Linked DNA regions of Macaca fascicularis. The protein of the gene in region 2 interacts with the protein of the main gene of each other region in a biochemical or structural test. Links are inferred from orthologs where the notes say so. Each region holds a gene or a part of one and is shown on either strand. Other genes may lie near its edges.

Region 1 (6,086 bases), on a different chromosome or scaffold from region 2:
CACTCCAGCCTGGGTGACAGAGCCAGACTCCGTCTCAAAAAAAAAAAAAAAAAAAGCCGGGCGCGGTGGCTCAAGCCTGTAATCCCAGCACTTTGGGAGGCCGAGGCGGGCGGATCACGAGGTCAGGAGATCGAGACCATCCTGGCTAACACGGTGAAACCCCGTCTCTACTAAAAATACAAAAAGAAATTAGCCGGGCGTGGTGGCGGGCGCCTGTAGTCCCAGCTACTCCGGAGGCTGAGGCAGGAGAATGGCGTGAACCCGGGAGGCGGAGCTTGCAGTGAGCCGAGATCGCGCCACTGCACTCCAGTCTGGGCGACAGAGCGAGACTCCGTCTCAAAAAAGAAAACCTCATCGTCTCAGCCCAAAATCTCCTTAAGCTGATAAGCAATTTCAGCAAAGTCTCAGGATACAAAATGTGCAAAAATCACAAGCATTCCTATACAGCAATAATAGACATACAGAGAGCCAAATCATGACTGAACTCCCATTCACAATTGCTACAAAGAGAATAAAATACTAGGAATACAACTTACAAGGGATGTGAAGGACCTCTTCAAGGAGAACTACAAACCACTGCTCAAGGAAATAAGAGAGGACACAAACAAATGGAAAAACATTCCATGCTCACGGACAGGAAGAATCAATATCCTGAAAATGGCCATACTGCCCTAAGTAATTTATAGATTCAATGCTGTCTCCATCAAGCTACCATTGACTTTCTTCACGGAATTGGAAAAACTACTTTAAATTTCATATGGAACCAAAATGGAGTTTGTATAGCCAAGACAATCCTAAGCAAAAAGAACGAAGCTGGAGGCATCATGCTACCTGACTTTAAACTATACTACGATGCTACAATAACCAAAACAACGTGGTACTGGTACCAAAACAGATATATAGACCAATGGAACAGAACAGAGGCTTCAGAAATAACGCCACACATCTACAACCATCTGATCTTTGACAAACCTGACAAAAACAAGGAATGGGGAAAGGATTCCCTATTTAATAAATGGTGTTGGGAAAACTGGCTACCATATGCAGAAAACTGAAATCGGACCCCTTCCTTACACCTTATACACAAATTAACTCAAGATGGATTAAAGACTTAAACATAAGACCTAAAACCATAAAAACCCTAGAAGAAAACCTAGGCAATACCATTAAGGACATACTCATGGGCAAAGACTTCATGACTAAAACACCAAAAGCAATGGCAACAAAAGCAAAAATTGACACATGGGATCTAATTAAAACAAAGGACTTCTGCACAGCAAAAGAAACTACCATCAGAGTGAACAGGCAACCTACAGAATGGGAGAAAATTTTTGCAATCTATCCATCTGATAAAAGGCTAATTATCCAGAATCTATAAGGAACTTAAATTTACAAGAAAAAAACAACCCCATCAAAAAGTGGGCAAAGGATATGAATAGACACTTCTCAAAATAAGACATTTATGCAGCCAACAAACATATGAAAAAAAGTTCTTCATCACTGGTCATTAGAGAAATGCAAATCAAAACCACAATGAGATACCATCTCACACCAGTTAGAATCGCAATCATTAAAAAGTCAGGAAACAACAGGTGCTGGAGAGGATGTGAAGAAATAGGAACACTTTTATACTGTTGGTGGGAGTGTGAATTAGTTCAACCATTATGGAAGACAGTGTGGCGATTCCTCAAGGATCTAGAACCAGAAATACCATTTGACCCAGCAATCCTATTACTGAGTATATACCCAAAGGATTAGAAATCATTCTACTATAAAGACACATGCACGTGTATGTTTATTGCAGCACTGTTCACAATAGCAAAGACTTAGAACCAACCCAAATGCCCATCAATGATAGACTGGATAAAGAAAATGTGGCACATATACACCGTGGAATACTATGCAGTCATAAAAAAGGATGAGTTCATGTCCTTTGCAGGAACATGGATGAAGCTAGAAATCATCATTCTCAGCAAACTAACACAAGAACAGAAAACCAAACACCACATGTTCTCACTCATAAGTGGGAGTTGAACAATGAGAACACATGGACACAGGGAGGGGAACATCACACACTGGGGCCTATCTGGGGGTGGGGGGCTAGGGGAGAGATAGCATTAGGAGAAATACCTAATGTAGATGACGGGTTGATGGATGCAGCAAACCACCATGGCACGTGTATACCTATGTAACAAACCTGCACATTCTGCACATGTATCCCAGAACTTAAAGTATAATTTAAAAAATAAAAATAAATAAAATAATTAGAACAAAGTCCAGTAGTATGGAGGATTAGGTAATAATCAATAGGAACAGACAAATCTAATGTTGAAATAGAATAATAGATCCAGAAATTAATTCCAAAGTCCTACCTATGGTTCTTTAATGTGTGTGTCCTTGATATTAGCTTGCAATTAGCTCCATCAAGTGATAGTATCCAACGTATAATGGGCTTAGCAATTTCTTGCTTCTCTTGCTGCTTCTATATCTCTCTTCTTTCACAGTCTTGGAGTCCCCAACAACAGGGCAGAGGCTGAAGGGCACAGATCTTTTGTGTCGTATGGCTTGGCCTCCACTGAAGTAGGTGAGGGTGACCGTCCCTGATGGCAAGACAGGTCTGGGCAGGCCACAGTCTGGCTCTCCTGCCTGGCTTCCTGGGAATAATTGAGCAATTGCTCTATACCAGGCAGGGTTCTGAATGCTTCCGCATCCCAATTTCGATCACTTCTGCAAGGTGACGCAGCTAGGAAAGATGTGACTCGGGCCACTCTGGCCTCCAGGACTCCTCTTCTGACCTCTCCTCAGTCGCTGTATTAGCCGGGCCGCCCTTCCCATGTTGACCTCCTCCCATATTTGCGTGTTGGCCTCACGGGCAGCGTCATGAAGCTGCCACCATGCCTGCCCCCCTTTGGTTCAGGCCACAGGGATGCCTGGAGCTGGGAGCGGCCCTGCATAGCACTGCCTGCGGAGTCTTCAGTGCGTGTGCGTTTCTGTCTCCTTTACTGAACTGTGAGCGCCTCAGGCGGGGCCTTCCATCTGCCAGTTTATCCCTGGAATGTATCTCAGTGCTTGGCAGAGGATAAGCATTACATGTTGGATACATTAATTGATCCTAAGATTCTAAGCACTAAATTTTACGAGAAGTAGCAAAAATGACCTGAATATAGTCGCACTGTATCTGTTCAATGATCCAGACAGCTGACTCCCTGGGCTTACGCCTTCATAACGCTGGAACCCCCTCCCGCTTTGTTCCTCTCCCTCTTGCAGCCGATGGGATCAGAGCGGATGGAGATGCGGAAGCGGCAGATGCCCCTGGCCCAGGACGCACCAGGCGCCGCCCCAGGCCAGCCAGGAGCGGGGAGTCGCGGGTCCAACGCATGCTGCTTCTGCTGGTGCTGCTGTTGTAGCTGCTCATGGTAAGGTTTCAGACTTTTTAATTAATGTGCCCCTGACTGGGAAGTGTAATGTGCTCCTGACTGGGAAGTGGCACCTGTGAATAGTGGTGGTAGCTTACGGTTAATTCAGTAAGTGTTTTTTAAGCAGCTACTATATGCCTGACACAGAGGGACACCCCAGAAATAACAACAGGCTACATCTGACTACCTCTTAAGGGGCTTATGCTCAGATCCCTCAAATCAGGCCACCGTGTGTTAAACAACTAAAGAACAACCTCCGGCGGTTCACGATTGACTATCAACATTTGGGCAGAAATGGTTAGAAAGAATTGAACTAGGGGCTCTCCTGGGGTAATGAAGGCTTAGGATCTAAGATGGGTCTTAAAGGTTAGGACGATGAAGTAAAGGGAGCCTGGATTTTACCTTCTGCTGCTTCCATTTCATAAATTTTGTTTTGTAATAAAGAGAAATGTCAAAATATGTGTTTCAAATAGAGACAAATATTAAAATATATGCTAACTTACTGGGTAGAGAAAGACACACAGACAGTCATTGCTTTAAAAACGATGTAAAACATCCGTGACCCTTTGAGTAGCTGTTAAAGGTCTGGAGAAAAGGGATAATTTACACCTAAAAATCATGGGAACTTTAAGTTACATCTTTGGAATCTTGGATATGAAAAGTGCTTAGTGCCAGCCAAATCTGTGAACCATTTTCGGCAATCAAATCATCCTAAATTTATGTAGGCTTGGCAATAAGTTAGACCAAGACCTCACTGTCCTGTGGAAAAGAAGAAAAACTGATATTGGACTGATCACGGACCGCGAAATGGAACTAACAGAACTGATCCCCGGGAAGGAGATTGGAGGCTGAAAATGAAATGCCCGGGGAAGTTTGGTGGCTCCTGCCCAACTCAGGCTACTATTCATTTCCAAGAAGTTCCAATCTGGTGGAAGGGACACAGCAGTAGAACATCCACCAGGGGGATCCCGATACTGATGGTCTCTTCATTCCCACAGCAAGAGGAAACATGTGGCCGGGGCTGACAGCTAGGCAGTGTCAAGGTGAGACTTCAGCCCTGGTAGGACTCTGGACAGCTCTGCAGGAAGCCAGAGGAGAGGCGCTGGTGGTGGGCAGAGGAGATGCGTGGGTGTCCAGGGCCTGCCCTAGAGGAGGAAGACACTAGTGGTGGCCAGACTGCGTTTAGGGGCCTATATTCTCAATCTGCCAGTAGGTCTCAGTGCAGAAACGAGACGATCCTCCTAGAGATGTGCAGGATGTCCGAGTGCAGGTGAGACTCCAGCTGATGTTCAAACCTTCCCCTCCTTTCTCTGCTGCCTCGTGCGCAGGGTGTGGGAGGCGGCTGACATGCTGACCTGAACAGCATATTGTCCCGGGATAGTGTAAGGCTAGAGGGCGGGGCACGTCCCAGAGCAGGCTCCTCCTACAGGTAACAAGTAGGACAAATAAAATAATCTGTACCTAGACACTATCATCACCACCATAGCCAACACTTCTGTAGCACTTAGGTGTGTGTAGAAGAGACAATAGAGCAATGTCTTCAAAGTGCTGGAGAAAAGTAACTGAAAACTAAGTCAAACCATAATTCAAGAGTGTGGGTAAAATAAGACATTCTCAGACATACGAAGGCCAACCAAGTTTACTGCCTGCAAACCTAAAAGAACTGAAGAAAGGGCCTAGTTCAGAGGGATAAAAGGGAACCCAGAGGAAAGACCCAGGAAACAAGTAACAGTTGTAGCTACAACGGGGTCAAATATTGATATAAAATGTGGCACTGAATTTTGTGTTAAAAAAGTGTGAAACCAAAGCTGTAAACAGTCTCATGTCAATGACAGAGAAATCAAATAATTCAGACTTTCTTAGAAAAAATTGTTATAAGAAAATTTTCTTTCAAAAGCAATGTTATTCATAATTAGTCCAAAAATACACCCTATCGTTTTAACATCAGTGAAAGACAATAAATCTAGAAAACCTTACCAACACGTGACAAAAGTGGCATCAGCAAAGGAGAAAATGAACTATTCAGTAAATAGCAGGATACTTGGTGTTTGGGTACCAACTCATCCCCACTGATAGGATTTTCTCAGTTTTAGCACTGAAAAGTCCCACAGCCCAGAAAACCTGAAAACGCTAGGCAAACCAGGAAAATTGGTCATCCTGCTTGGTATCCAAATATATAAAAATATATTTATATTCCTACATAGCACCATGTACAAAAATCAATTCCCACCTTTAAAAAAAGATCAGCTGGGTGCGGTGGCTCACGCCTGTAATCCCAGCACTTTGGGAGGCCGACGCAGGAGGATCACAAGGCAGGCCGATCAAGAGATCAAGACCACCCCGGACAACATGGTGAAACCCCGTTTCTACTAAAAATACAACAATTAGTCAGGCACGGTGGCAGGCACCTGTAATCCCAGCTACTCGGGAAGCTGAGGCAGGAGAATTACTTGAACCCAGGGGGCGGAGGTTGCAGTGAGCCAAGATTACGCCACTGCACTCCAGCCTGGGCAGCAGTGAGACTCCATCTCAAAAAAAAAAGAAAAAAAAAAAGGGAATGAGTGACCCAGCACTTTGGGAAGCCGAGGTGGGCGGATCACCTGAGGTCAGGAGTTCAGGACCAGCCTGGTTAACATGGTGAAACCCCGTCTGTACTAAAAAAAAATACAA
Region 2 (3,500 bases):
CCCAGGGACAGCCCTGGGAGAGGGAAGACTAGAGATGCGAGGGCCCACAGCGGCCCCCAGCCCATCCAGGGCCTGCCCTGAGGAGCTCACTCACACATTACTAGATAGAGGGGTGTAGAGGTGCCAGGCTAGGTTAGAAAAGGCCTCCCAGGAGGCGCCACTTGGGATAAGACCTGAAGGATAAGGGCAGGGGGGTGAGAGGCAGGTATCAGGATCGTTACAAGCCTAAGGCTGGACAGAGCAATATTGCTGGAGCAAAACATGTTGACCACGGCTGGAGCAGAAGGAGAGAAGAGAGAGGCAGCAAGGTGGGAGGCACAGGCCAGGCAGAGCTGAGAGGGCTGTGGGCAGGCAAAGGCCTAGCCTTGGGCCCATCTGTGAAGACACCTGGGTCATCTCCTCACTGACAAGTTCAGAAAGCAAAGGTAACAGCCGAAGCCCTCCATGAAACATTGGACCAACTCAAGGCCCAGGTATCCTGCCTCCTGGGTCCAGCACACCTGCGGGCACAGCCGGTCAAAGGATGCAACTGGGAGCCAGGCCTGGTGTCTGGGGAATTTGCCATGCCTGCCACTGAGTTGATGGATGAGGCCAGTGGTGCAAGCCCGTGTGACTGGCAGCTGCAGGGTGGCTGGCAGACCCACCATGGCACTGTCCCAGGGGTCCAGCCTGAGCACCTCATTTTGCCTTGCAGCTTCTCAGCCCCAAGGCCTCTGCCCATGGCCATGCCTCATCAAGGGAGCCTGACCTCACTCATCTGCTGGGATGTCCCCTCTGCCCAGAACCACACATGGGGCTGAACTGGGGGCAACCATAGGGTAAGGGGCAGAACCCTGGAGAGCACACAGATACACACTGGGAGCAGGGTGGATGCAGCCGCCTGTGTACACACCTGCCTGCCCATCCATCATTCGTTTCCCCCAGGCATGCCATCAACACGTAGGCACAGTTCCAGGGAGAGCCCTGAAGCGAGGAGTGGAGGGAGGCAAGCCTGCCTCCCCAGCTGCCTGATGAAAGCCGAAGATCCTCTCTCAGAACACTCAGGCTCCTAGCACCATGGCCACAGCCTGGAGCTGTCCAGTTTCCCTGGCTGGGGCACAGGGCCAAAGCTAGAACCATTGTTGCTCTCGGCTGAACCCAAAGAATAAAGCTTGCCTTAGGACTGGGTGAAGCAAGGAGTGACCTCAGAGGCCAGTGCTCCCAAGTGGGAGGCTGGGCCCTTGTCTCCCAGTATCACCCTCCGCTAGCCCCAGGGCACCCACAACTTCATGACTCCTTGTTTGCCCCCACTATCCCATCCCCAGGGTCAAAGGCCTCTCTCTTAAGGAGAGACTTGAAATCTGTGCTCAGGGCGTCCTGCTGGGCAAGACAGCCCCTCCCTTGTCTGCCACAGCCTCTACCACTGCCACTCCTGGCTGTGGCCCCCTTCGTGTGCTAGACCTTCTGTATTGGCTGGGCCTGAGCACACTGCTCCACTGCTTCACCTGGCTCCCCACTCTCTCCAGCAACTCCACTCTCAAGCCCCCAGTGCTTGGCACTGGGCCCAGGTCTCCCTCGGGCTGTGCCCATGCCACTGTGAAAGAATCCCAACACCTGCTTTCACGTCGTCCCCTTTCCACCAGGACCTGGCTTATCCCTTCTAAAGAGCTCTTAACCCCATCTCTGCCAGACTCTCAGGCTCAAGATGGGGTTGCGGGGCTGGCTGCTGTTCCTGGACCTACATGCTGGTAGGAGACTGGTGCTGGCAGGAGCTTCATGGATTTGCCAAACTATCACACGGACTGACCACGGATGCCCGGCGGAGCCTCACACTCTCTTGCCCTGTGGCCTCCACACCCTGAGTACTTCAGGCATGGGACATGACACCTGCACTCCACACCCTGTTCCCTCTGCCCCCACCTTGCTGGAGCCGCCTCAGTTATCGTGCAGCAGGGCCAGGCCTGCGCCTGGTTCCCTTTCTGGCTGCGGACGGTCCTGGACCTCGCGAGTCCTCTTGCTTCCAAGAACCCGTGACAGCAGGAACAAGCAGAGGAAAACCCCCGGCCCCACTTACTGTCTGGTTATCCTCGTAGAGTTTCAGGTCGTAGCCGCTGAGCTCCACACAGAAGATGATGGCTGTGACGCCCTCGAAGCAGTGGATCCACTTTTTGCGCTCTGACCTCTGCCCCCCCACGTCCACCATCTTGAAGGTGAGCTCCTTGAAGGTGAACTTGTTCTCCACGATGCCCGTGGTCATGTCCCGGGAGCGCAGGATGTCCTCGACAGTAGGGATGTAGTCAGCTGCGGCAATGCGCTCCAGGTCGTTCAGGTAGTAGGCCGCGTTGTCCTCCAGGTGATACTCGCTGGAGCGGCTGAAGCAGGCCTGTGCCCCTGGGTCGGCCCAGAGCCGCCGCATGACGCCCAGCAGCTCGGGTGTGATCTCGCCCTTGCTCTCAGCGGGGCCTGTCAGCGCGAAGAGCTGCACAGCGTCGTAGGCGCGGTCGGGGTTGTGGAAATCGATCCTGAGGGCGGCCAGGGCCCGGATGATGCGGGTCAGCGAGTCGATGGCGTTGTAGATGATGAGGGGCTTGTACTCCTTGCAGGCCTCCAGGTTGAAGCCGCCGCTGTGGATGATCTTCATCTGTTTGACGATGGTGCTCTTGCCTGAGTTGCTGGTGCCCAGCAGGAGCAGCTTGATCTCGCGGCGCTGTCGTTGGCTCTCTGAGCGCAGGTGGCGGTCAATTCTCCGGGACCGCCGGGCTGCTTCTTTTTCCTCTGAGCTTTGCCGACATCCCATGGTCTGGCAGCAGCGGGCCCAGACAAGGAGCACGGGACGGGGCGCCTCTCCCTCTTACCACAGGGGACGCTGAGACCAGGCAGACGAGAGCCCAGCTGCCCTGGAGGCACTCAGTGCCAGCAGGGGGGTGAGGCCGAGCCACACTGCAGCCCCTGCCCCAGTGCTTCTTCTCCAGCCGGCATGGCGCTCTGTGCAGCGGGCGGCGGCCGCCCCTCCCCACTAGTGACACTCCACCTCCCTAGTCAGCAAAGTGGCCTGATTTGCCGTAGTCATTCCCTGTCCTCAGCGACGGTGGGAAGCCGTCCGCTTGTGTCTGCCTCGGCTGCTGCCGTCTGGTTGCTGGTTGCTGTGGCGATGTTGCTGAGTGGTTGGAGGGTTGGAGGGCTGGTCACTGCTGTGCTCCCTGCAGCCCCCCGCCTCCGGCTCCCACTGTGCATCCAGCCCTTCACCTGCCAAACACAGAGAAGAGTGTGAGCCTCCTCCCTGTGGCCCCACCTCAGGCTGGACAGTGAAAGGGAGCTCTTCTGAAAGCCAAGCAGCAGAGACTGGCCTTGGAAAATGAGCCGGCAACAATCCATCCGACCCCCTCTCCTCCATGGGGCACTGCAGGGTCCACACCACGGTGTAACACGTGTGTCTGCTGCTGCCTGGACAGTCTGCCTGAAGCCAGGTGCATGAGGGAGAGGAGGGTGTGTGCGAGGCCTCTGCCCACCCAGCCCCCATG
Region 3 (6,086 bases), on a different chromosome or scaffold from region 2:
GTGGGACCAGACAGCAGAGGAGAGAACGCAGGTGTCTCAGACGTGATGCGTCAGTCGCCATGCCAGATTTCCAGGTGGGAGCAATTTGGAAGCCCAGGCCTGAGCCTCTGGATGCTGGGCCCTGCTGAAAATCTGGGAATTCTTCCTTTGGGGCATGGAGGACCAAGGCAGCTGAATTGATGGCTTGGGCAAAGTGCAGGGGAGGGGCCTGCTGAGGACACTGGAGGCTGGAAGGGAGGGTGGCAGGGTCCCCTCATGGAGAAGGCCCTCCAGAGGGGAGGGTCAGTACTTGGGGTAGGGTCAGCAGAGGACAGGAGGGGTACCTGGGGGCACCTAGAGGGCTGCCTGGCCACCAGCACAAAGTGATGAGGAGCAGCAGATGCTGGGGAGCAAGGAAAGGAGGAAAAGGAGGAGAGAGGCTCATTTGTTTTGTTTGCAGTTTAGGACTGGTGAGGCCTGGGTATGTTAAAGATCCAGGAGAAGTCCACAGAAAGAGGCGATGATTAGCTACTATATGGAGTGCCTCTATTTGACCCTCGGACCATCCACCCTGGAGTAGTTGATCATGTTGCTCTCATGATTTAATCATGTTGGACTGCATTTTGAACTAGGCTGTGTAATTAGCACGTACATCCTAGTCAGTCACTCTTTTTTTTTTTGAGGAGTCTCGCTCTGTTGCCCAGGCTGGAGTGCAGAGGTGTGATCTCTGTTCACTGCAACCTCTGCCTCCTGGGTTCAAGCAATTCTCCTGCTTCAGTCTCCCAAGTAGCTAGGATTACAGGCACACACTGCCACGCCTGGCTGATTTTTGTATTTTTAGTAGAAACGGGGTTTCACCATATTGGTCAGGCTGGTCTTGAACTCCTGACCTCAATTGATCTGGCCGCCTCGGCCTCCCAAAGAGTTGGGATTACAGGTGTGAGCCACCTAACTGGCCACTCATTCTCATTTACCAAATAACCAAGCAATCAAGCCTCTGTAAAGTGAAATTCCCACAAATTATTTTTAATGACATCCTTTCACGTTTTCCTACACTTTTTCAATAAGTGGATTTCTTTTAACTCCCTGAACAGAGAACCCCGGGGCACAGGAGGGAGTGGCCAGCTGTGCTCACTGTCCCGCTGACCCAGGCCAGGCAAGCAGGTCATCAGGTGCTGGCCTGTCCCTAGGGGGCAGCAGTGGCAGCACTGATCCCTGGAAATCTTGTTCAGGCCACCAGTGGCTCCAGACCCCAAATCCCTCTTTCGGGGAGCAACCTGCACAGCCTGGCATGGTAAGTTGTATCCTCACCTGTCATTGGCGACGGGCAGGGCGATCTCAAACTTGGCCAGGAACTGGAAGTACTGCTCTTCCGTCTGCTGTGTGAAGCCAGTCCCCACCAGTAGCATCCTGAGGTCTTCTGCTCTGATCACCCCATTCTTGGCCACTGACCGGGAGCCCTTAATGTTAAAGATCCTCTGCAGACATTCGGACAGCCAAATAGGGTCGAGGAAGTAGAGGTTCCTCAGGCCGTGGCTGGTGTCTGGGAAGTGTAGCAGGGTGCCAGTTTCTATGAGGAAGCTGATGGCTGCCCCAGGCAAGGAGAGGAGGAAGCAGCAGTTAGACAAAGGAGCGAAAGGGACTCTGGGGTGGCCTTACTTTCCAAGGGGACCCAGGTCACAAATTCTTCCTAGGAAGAAACCAACATGCCCCACATGCTGGACCCTTCAGGTGGGTTGGCAGCCTGATCACAGGTGCCCTGGTGGCCCCTGGTAACTCTTGCCAAAGTCCTAGGCTAATGGCCACCTCGGTAACTACAGTTGATCCTCATTATTTGTGGATTCCGCCTTTGCAAATTTGCCTTCTTACTAAAATTTATCTGCGACCCCCAAATCAATGCTCCTGTGGTTATTTGCAGACATGTGCTGAGTGGTGAAAAGTTTGCATTGACCAATGTGCACATTCCCAGCGGAGGCTGAACAGGGCAACACTCTCAACTCTCGTGCTGAAAACAGGGGCCTGCTTAGTGGTCTATGTCAGTGCCATGTTTTTTGAATTTTTGTGCTTTTTGTTGATGCTTTCACTGTTTAAAATGGTCCCAAGTGAAGTGCTGAAGCGCTGTGTAGTTCCCTAAGCGTGAGAAGGCTGCGATGTGCCTTATGGAGAAAACCTGTGTGTTAGATAAGTTTTGTTCAGGAATGAGCAACAGTACTGTTAACCATGAGTTCAATGCCAACAAATCAACACTATATATTAAGTACAGTGTCTTTAAGCAGCAACACACATAAAACAAGGTTCTGTATTGATGGGCTGATGAGAATGTTCTGACCAGAGGCTTGCAGGAGCTGAACCCTGCGTCTCTCCTAGGAGCACTGGTTTAGTATTTGCTATTTCAGTGATCATGGTGACTTTACAGAACATAAGTCCTGTGGCTAATGAGAATCGATTGTAACTGTTTGACCTCTGTCTCCCTGACTGAACGTCAGCCCTGGAGGGCATGGACCAGTCCATCAGTTTATATGTCTGCCCTTGTGGCCAACACAATGCTGGTGTAGAGTAGCTGTTTGTGTTCTCTACCTCCAAGGAAAGAAGGGTGAGAGGGAAGAAGGAAGGGGAGGGGGATGGAAGACAGAAACACAGGCTGATTATCGGTCTCTCATTCATTGCTGAGGGCCAGGCTGAAGTACAGACAGTTCCATTTCTCACGGGCACCCTGCCGCCCACCCCAGCCCCACCCACCCGACTGCAGGTCCTCGTAGTCTTTGATGTCATTGTCGGGCGTCTGCTCCACCAGCTGCTCCAGCTGCCTGTCCGTCAGGTACTGCACGTCGTCGTCCAGGCTGCGGCGCTGCTGCTCTGCCAGCACGGCCTCCTGCAGACTCAGGTAGCTCCTGGGGATCTGGGGGACAGACGGACGAGGCAATTCCCGAGGCATGCCCGCCAGCTGGGGCAGATCCTGCCTGGCCCCTGTGGCCTGAGTGGGTGGGACATTTCCACCCACTATCTTCCATCCTGACCCTCCCTCACCAAGAACGACTGAGCCTTGCCACATGGACATGGGCTTCACAGGAGAGAGGGGAAGTGAGGATCCCCAACAATGGGAAGCAGGCCTACTGGTTTAAGCTGGACGAGCGAGGTACCCACCAGCCTCCCTGCCAGTCGCTGGCAGCCGATGGTGCTGCCCACGTCCTTCATGCTGCACGTGACGTGGAAGATCAGCTGCCGCAGCCCTTCCTGGCCTTCCAGGCTCTTGCAGGAAATCTCACTGTGTGCAAAAAGACCCGTCTTTACTCATCGTGCCCCACTCCGAGGAAGTGCTGCAGCTTCTCTGTTTTCCCAAGAGGTTTGTCCTGAATGCTGGCAAGTCTGGAGAACTCATGAAAGACAACACAAGAAGTTTACTGAGGCCTTGCTTTGTGCAAATCACTGTGCTGGGTGCCCCACACTGTCGCTTTAGTCTGTCTTCCTAGACCAAACATGGCACTTCACAGAGAAGGAAAGTGAGGTGCAGAGGTACATTGAGACCCCCAAGGGCACAAGCTGGGCAGGCACAGGCTCACGCAGGCTGGTCTCAGGTTCTGACCCAGAGCCAGGGCTCCTCTTATCACAGACCCTATGGGACTTTCTCAAGGTCAAAGCAATAATTCCTGACAGCCTCATCCCGTATTCCGAGCCAGGCCAATGTGTCCCAGGCTGACCCACGCACCAATACCCATGACGCTCCACCCCGGGCGAGGGAATCTGAGAGCTGCCAGGGCAGCTAATGCAATGTGCAGTATATTTTACTCCCATTAGGGCACACAATTTGCTGAACCTCAGCTTCTTCATCTACAAGGTGGCAAACAATCCCCACAACCAGTGACAGGAGGTCAGCCCAGGGCAATTGAACTTATCTGCATGGACACGTCGTGATGCCCACCCGAAAGCCCCTCCCAACTCTTGGCCTTTTTTAACTCAAAGGCTGCTATCAGGACCACTCAGACCAAAGGCAAGGGCTAGGTCCTCCCTCCCCAGGGTCTGTCCTTGATCAGTGATCAAAAAATGAGATGGGCAGCAATTGGATGGGTGGTGCCCATGTTCAGTCACCTGGTTCAATGGGCACCATGCAGTTTCAGCACTGGCCCTTGGGGCGGGGACAGGGCAGAAAGGAAGCAAAGAGGGGGCATCTCCAGGCCTCACCCAGCCAGCTGTCTGGTAGGTCTTCACCCTCTCCAAGGCTGGGTCAGCTCTGTGGACTGCCCCCCCTTGGCCAGGGAAGGGGCCTAGCCCCACCCAGCCTCAGGAGCTCTCTGTAAGCAGATCCCAGGAAGGATCAGCGACTGGCACCCACATGAAGGCGGGAGCTGCTAGAGGCTGGGCACTCACTGTAAGTGTTTGAAGGTGATGTCTGGGAAGCCTGTGGCCCTGGAGCCGGAGGGGGAGCGGCAGAGCGCCAGCACATAGGCACGCAGCGTTGCAATCCTTTCCACACGGAACTTGGCTTCAATTAAATCCAGGTGTGTCCCGACCACCAGCACCACGGCATTTGGGGCCTTGGCCTGCAACAGAGAACCCCACGGCTGAGTATCGTCTCTGTTCACTGAACAAGGGACAGGACAGAGCTCCCAGCTGTGCTGACCCCGGATGCCACAGCCCTTGCTCAGCCACCAATCTGCAGCCTTGAGATGGTTTGGATGTTTTTCTCCTCCAAATCTTATGTTGAAATGTGATCCCCAGTGTTGGAGGTGAGGCCTGATGGTAGGTTGGGTCATGGAGGTAGATCCCTCATGAATGGCTTGGTGCCCTCCTGCAGTAATGAATGCATTCACCCTATGTCAGTTCACAGAGGAGCTGATTGTGAAAAGGAGCCTGGCTCTTCCTCCTCTCTCTCCTGCTCCCTCTCTCACCATGTAACATGCTGGCTCTCCTTCTCTTCTGCCATGACTAAAAACTTCCTGAGGCCTAACCAAAAGCCAAGCAGATGCTGAAGCCATGCTTGTATAGTCTGTGGAACTGTGAGCCAAATAAACCTCTTTTCTTCATAAATTACTCAGTCTCAGTCATTCCTTTATAGTAATGCAAAACAGACTGCTATAGGAATGTCAGCCCAGGCAGCACCTGTGCTCCTCATTCTCTGTAAACCCCGAGGGACCGTTGCATTGAGGGGTGTCTATGGTGTTCTGGGACCTCCTCTGCAGAGGGTGCTGAGTTGGACTTGTGAGAAGGGATTTCCGACCCTTCAGACATGACAGCAGCCATCAGAGGCAGGGAGACAAGGACATCTTTATAACGGGAAGAGAACCCTGCTCCCCTTTGGATCCAAGGGTGGGGGTTCCTAAATTTAAGGAAAGCAGGGAAATTACAAGAGCACCACCAGCCCTCAGCAGAGAAAGGTTTCAAGTGCCTCATTGCGAAAAGCAAGCAGGACCACGGTTCTGGGGACCTCCGTGGAACACAGCTCCTTTTTTTCTCAGTAGAGGGGATGCTTGAGAAAAGCAGTCGGATCTGCGAAGCTCTGGGAACTGAAATGGCGGGGCTGGCGTCTGGTGTCCTCACCTCGATGTTGAGCAGCCAGAACTGGAGGTTGGCCACGGCCTCCTCCCCCAGTGCCAGGTTCCAGACCACCACATACAGGGCCTTGTCTGTGAAGAAGCACTGGTTGACAGTGGCCATGCTGGCCGGTCCCCCGATGTCCCAGACGTTGAACTCCACAGACTCAACCTACTTGAGCAACAGGGCAGTGACAGGGAGGCATTTTAGAGACAAAGGCTTCAGTCAATCAAAGAGAGACAACTGATAACTCTGGAAGCTGTACTTGGGGGTCTGAAAAAAAAACAACCGTGGAAAAGTTCTGGACACCCTATAGTTTCTTAGGAAGCAGTTATCGGGGCGAGGGACAGGGGCCCAGTGGCATGGGAGTGGGACTTCTGTCTACTCCTAGCAGAGCAGAGGCCAGGCCCTGGACAGACGTCAGAGGGCCTGGCTCCGTCTGGCCTGCAGATGGGTAGGGGATGCCCTGTGGGAGGAAGCTGTGCTCTGATGTCATGGCTTGCACTGGGGTTCAGCCTCCCTGTGTGCCAGGGCAAGAGGAGGAGATGGGCCTCTGAACTTGTGGGGGTCAGAGGTTG

Evidence for each region.
Region 1: the proteins of GNAZ (region 2) and RGS20 form a complex in vitro, tested with the Homo sapiens proteins (2 studies listed by BioGRID, with this or other methods). The link is inferred for Macaca fascicularis from reciprocal best matches to the Homo sapiens genes GNAZ and RGS20.
Region 3: the proteins of GNAZ (region 2) and LRRK1 form a complex in vitro, tested with the Homo sapiens proteins (2 studies listed by BioGRID and IntAct, with this or other methods). The link is inferred for Macaca fascicularis from reciprocal best matches to the Homo sapiens genes GNAZ and LRRK1.

Annotation. Positions count from the first base shown.
Region 1 is NC_088382.1:63,916,181-63,922,266, forward strand, and holds part of RGS20 (regulator of G-protein signaling 20), read left to right. Parts: intron 1-3,267; coding exon 3,268-3,416; intron 3,417-6,086. UniProt on the Homo sapiens protein: Inhibits signal transduction by increasing the GTPase activity of G protein alpha subunits thereby driving them into their inactive GDP-bound form.
Region 2 is NC_088384.1:29,607,300-29,610,799, forward strand, and holds part of GNAZ (guanine nucleotide-binding protein G(z) subunit alpha), read right to left. Parts: intron 3,226-3,500; 5' UTR 2,777-3,225; coding exon 2,054-2,776; intron 1-2,053. UniProt on the Homo sapiens protein: Guanine nucleotide-binding proteins (G proteins) are involved as modulators or transducers in various transmembrane signaling systems.
Region 3 is NC_088381.1:86,090,961-86,097,046, reverse strand, and holds part of LRRK1 (leucine-rich repeat serine/threonine-protein kinase 1), read right to left. Parts: intron 5,683-6,086; exon of another isoform or gene 5,680-5,682; coding exon 5,515-5,679; intron 4,518-5,514; coding exon 4,345-4,517; intron 3,245-4,344; coding exon 3,124-3,244; intron 2,879-3,123; coding exon 2,719-2,878; intron 1,568-2,718; coding exon 1,291-1,567; intron 1-1,290.